Linked DNA regions of Tamandua tetradactyla. The protein of the gene in region 1 purifies or fractionates together with the protein of each later gene. This does not show direct contact. Links are inferred from orthologs where the notes say so. Each region holds a gene or a part of one and is shown on either strand. Other genes may lie near its edges.

What was found.
Region 2: the proteins of TRERF1 (region 1) and DNTTIP1 purify together in Homo sapiens (affinity purification with mass spectrometry; 3 studies listed by BioGRID and IntAct, with this or other methods). This does not show direct contact. The link is inferred for Tamandua tetradactyla from reciprocal best matches to the Homo sapiens genes TRERF1 and DNTTIP1.

The regions. Positions count from the first base shown.
Region 1 is NC_135331.1:100,031,361-100,035,268, reverse strand, and holds the start of TRERF1 (transcriptional-regulating factor 1), read left to right. Parts: upstream 1-990; 5' UTR 991-1,128; exon of another isoform or gene 1,129-1,211; intron 1,212-1,217; exon of another isoform or gene 1,218-1,350; intron 1,351-1,373; exon of another isoform or gene 1,374-1,559; intron 1,560-1,663; exon of another isoform or gene 1,664-1,714; intron 1,715-1,726; exon of another isoform or gene 1,727-1,746; intron 1,747-1,985; 5' UTR 1,986-2,067; intron 2,068-3,908.
Region 2 is NC_135327.1:6,433,051-6,436,958, reverse strand, and holds the start of DNTTIP1 (deoxynucleotidyltransferase terminal-interacting protein 1), read left to right. Parts: upstream 1-954; 5' UTR 955-1,023; coding exon 1,024-1,128; intron 1,129-1,183; exon of another isoform or gene 1,184-1,305; intron 1,306-1,696; coding exon 1,697-1,767; intron 1,768-3,908. UniProt on the Homo sapiens protein: Increases DNTT terminal deoxynucleotidyltransferase activity (in vitro). Also acts as a transcriptional regulator, binding to the consensus sequence 5'-GNTGCATG-3' following an AT-tract.

The DNA.
Region 1 (3,908 bases):
AACTCTCGGCTCGGGTTTCCGCACCAATGCCGAGCAGCCCCGGGCGGCCCCCGGCGGCCGTCCCTCCTCCCCGGCACCACGTTCCACAGTCATGGCGCGCTAGGGGGGCGGGCGCGGGCCGCGGCGGCACTCCAGTCCCCCCTCCCCTTCTCTCCCCTCCAGCCGCCCGGCCCCGGCCCCTCTCCTAGGCAACCTCCCACCCCGGCCCGCTGAGCGGAGATGGAGACCCCTCCCCAGAGAGCTGCATTTCCAGCGCGGTCTGCAGCACCCCCTCCCCGCCCCCATCGGGGCGGAGGGATGGAGTCGCGCGCTTCAGGAACCTCCAGCCCCTTCCCCGGAGCCCCAGCCCCTTTTCCAAACCCACCCAGGCCAGGGTGCGATGCGTACGCGGATTGTCTCCCCACAGCCCGCTTAGGCCTCGGCATCGTTGCAACCTTCTAAAGAAAAAAACCAAAGAAGCCCAAACCCCGGTCGTTAAAATTGCAAAGCGCGTTACAATAACCCGGACGGCTACGCAGGAAGCAATCTGCACTGGTCCGGGTGTAGGGGGCAGCTTCCCGGCCACGCCGCTTTCTCCCGGACCTCGATTTTCCAGCCATGCCAGAGAGTCCGCACGCCGGGGCCTGCTGACAGGTCCTACGCGAGGCGGCAGCGGGGCCCGCGCCCCCTGCCCCATCCTCGCGCTGAGACTCGCCAGCCTACAAAAGGTGCAACCTCATGCACATGCAGAGCACACAAATAAAGTCAGCCGCGCACCGCCGCGAAGGCTGCGAACAATGCGCGGAGCGGCCCGCGCCTGCCCGAGCGCGGCACCCTGGGGGGCAGGAGGCGCGGGCGGGGGCAGCGGCGGAGGGCCGGCCGGCCGCGGCGCTGGACACCTTACTTCCTGCTTCCCCGCCTGCGGCCAGACCAGCTCTGCGGAGGGATATCTCTCCCCTCTTCTAGCCCTCTCCTTCCCTCTCCCCGCGCCTCCCCCTCCCCATTTTGCTTCTGCTCCCCCCCACCCCCCACCCCGCCTTTCTCCTTTTGCAAGAAAATAATTTGACAGTCGATTTGCTGACAGGGGAGGAATTTGCATCCTGGATTAAAAAAAAAAGGCAGAGAGGAGCTTGGGAACGGTTGCTAGGGGTGGGTAATGGGTAAAAAGGGGGGGCTGGGAGGGGATAAGGAGGGTTAAAGGAGGGAGACGAGGGTGGAAAGCAATGCAAAAGGTAAGGCCAGGTTGTCGCGGCTCGGCCCCGAGTGGGCTGCGACCGGGGGAGGGGCGAGAGATACATATGTATTTCTGTCTCCCCAGCACACCCCCTTCCCTCTAAGCGATGGCTGAGAGGCGGTGCATGCAGATGGGGAGTAAGTTTCCTGAAGGGGAGGGTGGGTGCACGCGCGCAGCCGGGCGCTGCAAATTTCCACCGGGGAGGGAGAGCGGCTGGATGCGGAGAGTTTGGAGTTGCTTGCGGCGGAGGGCAGGAAGGGGAGCAGGGCCGGGAAAAGGGGGCTGGCGGGCGCTATATCTGGGAGTAAGTTTCCAGGATCGGGAGAGCCTGCACGCTTTTTCGCTTGTAAGTTTCTGGTCGGGGAGGGCGCGTGGGGAGGAGGAGAGGGAGGGGTGCATGCATATAGGAGGGGGGAGGGGGGAGCAGATTTCCTGCGGGGAGGCTGAATGCATATGGAGAGTAGATTTCCTGAAGGGAGGGTGGAGGCGTAGACGGACCGAGTAAGTTTCTTGCTGGGGTGGTGGCGGAGATGGTGGGTTGATGCTTCCGAAGCCGGGAGCTTCCTACAGGGGGGTGGGGGTGGGGGAGCATGGTGTTGGATGGGGGGCGGGGGCGAGGAGCCAGGTTCCCTGATGGGGAGAGGGGTTTGCATCTGGGAGTATGTTTCCTGGCGGAGCGATATTTGTTTACAGGCTGAGGGCAGTACTGTAAATGAGTAGCGTTGCGAGGAGGCGGCTCTGACATAAATTAATATTGAAATTACTCCATCAGCTCTGCTCGTCCCCCACCCCACCCCCCAAGCGGAGATCGATCTTCTCGGATTGCCCATGCACTTGTTGCAGAGACAGCCAAGGTAGGCAAGAATCTTATTAACTTTCATTAAAAAAAAATTAGTTGGAAGATGCTCCGTGAGAAGACTGGGCGGTGGGGGAGGGAATAGTGGGGGATGGAGAAGGAAACCACCCCACCCCCGTTCTTTACTTTCAGTATGTAAGCAGGGCCTTCTCCCTGCTTCCCTTCTTCCCTCTTCCCTCTCTGGGCTGCACAGCATCCCAGCAAAGGGGGAGGGGTGAGGTGGACGCTATAATTGGCAGCCCCCGCTGGTAGGGTAGTGGTGTTGGGGCTTGCAGTTGATGGTTGCGATGTTATAAAGCCTTCATTCTTCCAGCTAAGAAACCACAGGACCCTGGGGATGTGCCTTTTGGGGTTTTTGACATGATGCATATGTGTACGAATACGCGCCTGCGGGCTCTGTGGGGTTTTGGGTACCCCCCAGAAGTTGGTGTGGCCACCCAGATGGGAGAAGTGGAGTGTGCATGGGGGTAAACCTGCTCCTTCATTCCCCAACTTTAGTTTGGGAGACTGAGAAGTTACTACTGGTGGTCTGGGGAAATAGATATTAAAAAAAGAAAAGAAAAAGCACCAACTCCCCGGCGGACGCCGAGAGCACCTGGCTGGCAGCCTGTGGCCGGCAGTGGGCTGGAGCGGGTGCGCCTGCCATCCTTAGGTGAAAAGAAAAGGCCTTCTGGTTCCTCCGTCGCCTTCGACTGGGCTGTTAGAGCCAGCTTTGTGGAAACTCTCCCCAGAGAGGCGCAGCTCTGGCAAGTGGACTGTTGAAGCGGGTTGCTAACAGCGTGGCATGGCTGTGTGTGGAGTGGTGCTTAGGAATGACCGATGCAGGAATGACCCGTGATTTCTCTTAAAAAGGCCCCCTAAAAACCGGTCCGGGTGACTTTGCAGCAGGCCTCGGAGGAGAGCTTTGAGAAAGGAATTTTAAGTTTTTTCAGTTGGTGCCAACCTTCAGCATCATTCACCCTTTCAAGAAAGGAGTCTGGTGCTGGAAAATGTGGCTTGGATGACCCTGTAAGGATAACAAGCCGGAGTACTCACCACTTAACTAGTTAACTAGCAGTCTTTGTCTCTCCTTGCCTCTGGTTTCCTGGTCCTCAGCCTGTGGATTTCTGCAAATGGGTTGTAGGTCCTGGCTGTCAGGTACCCACCCTTGATTGTGTGGGAGTTTTAACTTTGCCACGATAATTTTAGCACCAGAGGAACAGATCCAGAGATGCTTAGTAGGGCCAGGGAGTAAACACAAGGCAGTGGGATCAACTTAAGTTGGTTAGCTTTTCGAGGTTTTCTAGACAGGCTCAATTCTAGTTTGGTGAAAGATGAGTTAAAAAAAAAAAAAAAAGAAAAGCTCTCTACATGTTTCTGATAGATATGCTTATTTTTTTTCCTTCCTGTCATCAGATTTCCAGATTGAGGATTTGATATTTGGCAGTTTTTGAAAGTTGAATTAGTCGGGAATTAACTATTATTGTCACTTTTCAAATGTTCCTAACCTAGGCGTTATTTAGACAAATTAGCTATTATTTTTACCAGCTGAAAATCTGAGTCTGGTTGGTGTAAATGCTGGAAGGGTAAACAGAATCTTTATGTGTGTTTATCCCAGGATAGTGGAATTATTTGCATGCCTAACCTCGAAACTAAGAATGGTCATTTAGGGTTATTTCCTTATATTTATGAGATTTATTTTATTTGTCTTGCTCTGGCCATTAATCAAGGCACAGAAGCTCCCCCCCCCCCCCCCTTCTACTGAGAATGTTCTTGTGGTAATAAAGATTTAAAGGCCCATGAATCATAATTCACTCTTTTTAAAACATTTAAATCAGGATTTGACTTAAGAATTGATAC
Region 2 (3,908 bases), on another chromosome or scaffold:
ACTCACGACTGGCTGTTTTTATCCCCTTATCTTGTTTTGCAGTAGCACTGTGATGTCTCGTGCTTCTACACAAAGCACCCTTGATAATTATTAATGAAGAAACATAAGTCATGCCAGAACTGACCTTCTTGTTCCTTATCCTAAGCCTGCCTCTTTGCTTGAATGGTATAAAACGCTGAAAGTTTCTCCAATTTGGGGAGACAGATTTATGATCCATAGGCCTTCTAATCTCCTTGCTTTGAGTTTAGCAATAACTTCTTTCTCTCCTCAAAATCCAAGTGTGTAGTGATTGGCTGTGCACATCAGGCAAGGACTCACTTTCGAGCCATAACAGATAAACTCTACAGCGATTAAATTTCTACATCCCCAGCCTATCCCAGAATCATCAGTCTTGTGCGGAAGAGAAGCCCAGCTCCCTGGAACAGAGGAAATCCACAAGCCAAGACCCAAATGTCACCTGATGCCTTCAGATCTCTCAAGGCCTAGAAAGATGCAGCTGTGGGTGTTTGGGATGGCATGGGCCAGACCAGTCTTGCAGGGTTTTGTCCCGCCGCCCACCCAACCCCCACACCCCCTCATCCACTTCAGGTCGCACTCTAATTCCCGGGGCTGAGTGCCGGGCATATTCAAATACAAAATTTCCGAAAACTGAACTGCAGACACCGCTGTACAAAATACCCGCCTCCGCTCCCTAATCCCAGCCCATGGAAACCTGCTCCCCTCCTCCTACACCGCGCTTGGCAGAACGGCCCTTGACTGAATGCCACCTATAAGCTCACTACCGACCGAACGCCCACTCCTGAGGCGCAGCGCCCTCGCTGGAGAAACCTGCAGCAACCCACACACACAAGGCTTCTCCGAACCCCGCACCCCGGCCAGTGGCAGCGGTTCGGTTCCCATGACAACTGCGCCGCTCGCCTTAGCTCGCTTCCGGGCTAGCGAGTGGCGCGGCCCAATGACGTCACGAAGCCACCTTCCGGCCGGTGGCAAAGTCGGACTGAAGCTGTGGGGACCGGGGACGCCATGGGGGCTACTGGGGAAGCCGAGCAGCCGCGGGGACCCGGCGGGGCAGAGCGAGGTGGCCCCGAGCATGGGGACGCGGGCTCAGCGGGGCAGCTGGTTCTCACGGTGAGGGCGCCCCCGGTGAGGCCAGGGCTGGACCTGGGCTCGGGCCGGACGGGGCCTCGGGCTCCCGGGACCCTGGCCCGCGGGCGAGAGAACGCGGAGTCTGGTGCTGTCGAGGGAGTTGGCGTTTTCCCAGCCCGACGACCCGGATTCAAATTCTGGTGCCGCCCCCTTAGCTAGGTGACGTGGACCCGTTCTGTCAACTCCCTGAGTTCCAGTTTCCTCTAATACAAAATGGAGATGATTAGTAGCTGCCTCCTAGACTTGTTGTGGGCATGGGATGATAAATGTGGCTATGTCACCTGCCACAGAGTAGGCCCTCTACCAACGCTGGGTCCCTTCCTTCTACCGTTACAGAAAAAAAGTGGGGTTGAGACTTTCGAGGCAGGAGCTTTTCCTCAGTTCTTCCCGGTCAGGGTCTTCCAACCGCTGCTATTCCCCACACCCCAAGGTTGGAGAGGCGATGAAGGGATCTGAAAAGCAAGGATTTCTAGGTTTAACTTCTACCTATCCTCGCAACCCCACCATTATGTCACAGGATCGGTGACGTCTGCTTCCTTGATCCCCACAGAATCCTTGGAACATCATGATAAAGCACAGACAGGTGCAGCGAAGGGGCCGCCGTTCACAGATGACAACAAGGTAGGGCTCCCCCTTGGCAGGCTTTATTTCCCAGGCACTGGCTTGAATGGCAGCTTTGGGGTCCCCACTACACAAGACCGAGAAGCGATCTACAGCCAGTAGAAAGAGCACTGAATTGTGAGGCATGCAACTAGGTGAATGAAACGGGAGGACAGTATATTGAATGAAATGTCAGAAACAAAAAGACGTATTATCATGCCTCACTCATATGGACTAACTATAATATACAAACTTGGAGAATTGAAGTCAAAGGCATGGGTTATCAGATTGGGGCCTATTGTGAAGGGTCCTAGATTGTAAGCTCTTGAAGCAGTCACGTCTGTTCTGGAGTTGTAGCTGTTATTTCTAAATTCTGAGATACTGAGCAATTTGTGTATAAACTGGTCGTTCCCTGAAATTTTGAGTATTTTATGTGACACCTGAGGCAGAGTCAGAGTTCTGAAGCTGTGAAAGTTAGCATTATCCCATACAGCAACTGTTTAAAAAGTAAAAAAAAGTGATCAGACTTTGATTAGAGGTATAAGTGAAGCTGATTTGGACAGGACTAAGGTAAATCAGAGTACAGGGTAAAGGATGAAATGGTCCATATTTTTAAACTTCAACTTCTATGTGAGACCAAAGGAAGAGGTGTGGGTTTTTTCTGTTTCAGGTAGTGTATTATCCAATTTAACTTGTATGATCAGTTTATTTGAACACCATAATTATATGGAATCTTGAATAGGGTGTGAGATCTTGTTGGTTTGTGTAGATTAGTGTAATGCCCTTTTACTTCCCAGAGTAAGCTGAGCAGAGAATAAAAAAAAGTATTTGCAAAGTCCCCTTAAGTACTGAGAGAAAGGCAGAAATATTCAGTTTCCCCATCTGGAGAATTCCTGTTATTCCTGCAAGCAGTGGGAACAACCCATTCAATAGGCTGAGCCCTTGATCTTGGGGTTTGCCCCTTTGAAATTTAGCCCTGCAAAGGAGAAGCTGGGCTCCCGAATGACTGCATAAGAGTCACCCCCAGAGAACCTCTTTTTTGCTCAGATGTGGCCTCTCTCTCTAAGACAGCTCAACAGGTGTATTCACTGCCCCCCACCCTATGTTTGGAATACGACTCCCAGAGGTGTTACTCTTCCTGCAACATGGGACAGGACTCCTGGGGATAAGCCAGGACCCAGCATCATGGGGTTGAGAGAGCCTTCTTGGCCAAAAGAGGGAAGAGAGAAATGAGACAAGTTTCAGTGGCTAAGGGATTTCATCCAGTTGGGAGGTTATCCTGGAAGTTACTCATATGCATTATATAGAGATCTGTTTTAGTTTGTAAAAACTGCCGGAATGCCATATACCAGAAACGGAATGGCTTTTAAAAAGGGGAATTTATTAAGTTGCAGGTTTACAGTTCTAAGACCATGAAAATGTCCAAATTAGACTTCCAGGGAAAGATACCTTGGCTTAAGAAAGCTGATGATGTTTGGGATTTCTCTCAGCTAGAAAGGCACATGGCAACATCTGCTAGCTTTCTCTCCAGGCTTCTTCAGTGGCTTCCCCAGGGGTGTTTTCTTTAGGCATATCCAAAGGTCTCTGACTGTGTGAGCTCTGTTGGTTCTGTTGGCTCTTTCCAAAAATTGTTCCCTCTTAAAGCGCTATAGTAAGCAACCCCCCCCTTGAACCCCACACAGCTCCACGGAGACCATCTAATCAAAAGTTACCACCTGCAATTGGGTGGGTCACATCTCCATGGAAACAATAAAAAAGAGCCCACCCAGCAATATTGAATGAGGATTAAAGAACATGGCTTTTCTGAGGTACACAACAGATTCAAACTGGCACACTATCCCTTTTTAGTCTGTGGTGTATTGGAGTGACTAGAAGGAAGTACCTGAAGCTGTTGAACGTGTTCCAGTAGCCTTGATTCTTAAAGACGATTGTATAACTATATAACTTTTACAGTGTGATCATGTGATTGTGAAAACCTCATGTCTGATGTTACCTTTATCCAGGGTATGGACAGATTAGTTAAAAAAAAATACAGACAAAATAAAGAAATGAATAATGGGGGGGATAAGGAGTTAAAAAAATTTGGGTAGACTGAAATACTAGTGATCAGTGAGAAGGAGGATAAGGGGTATGGGATGTATGAGTTTTTTCTTTTTCTGGAG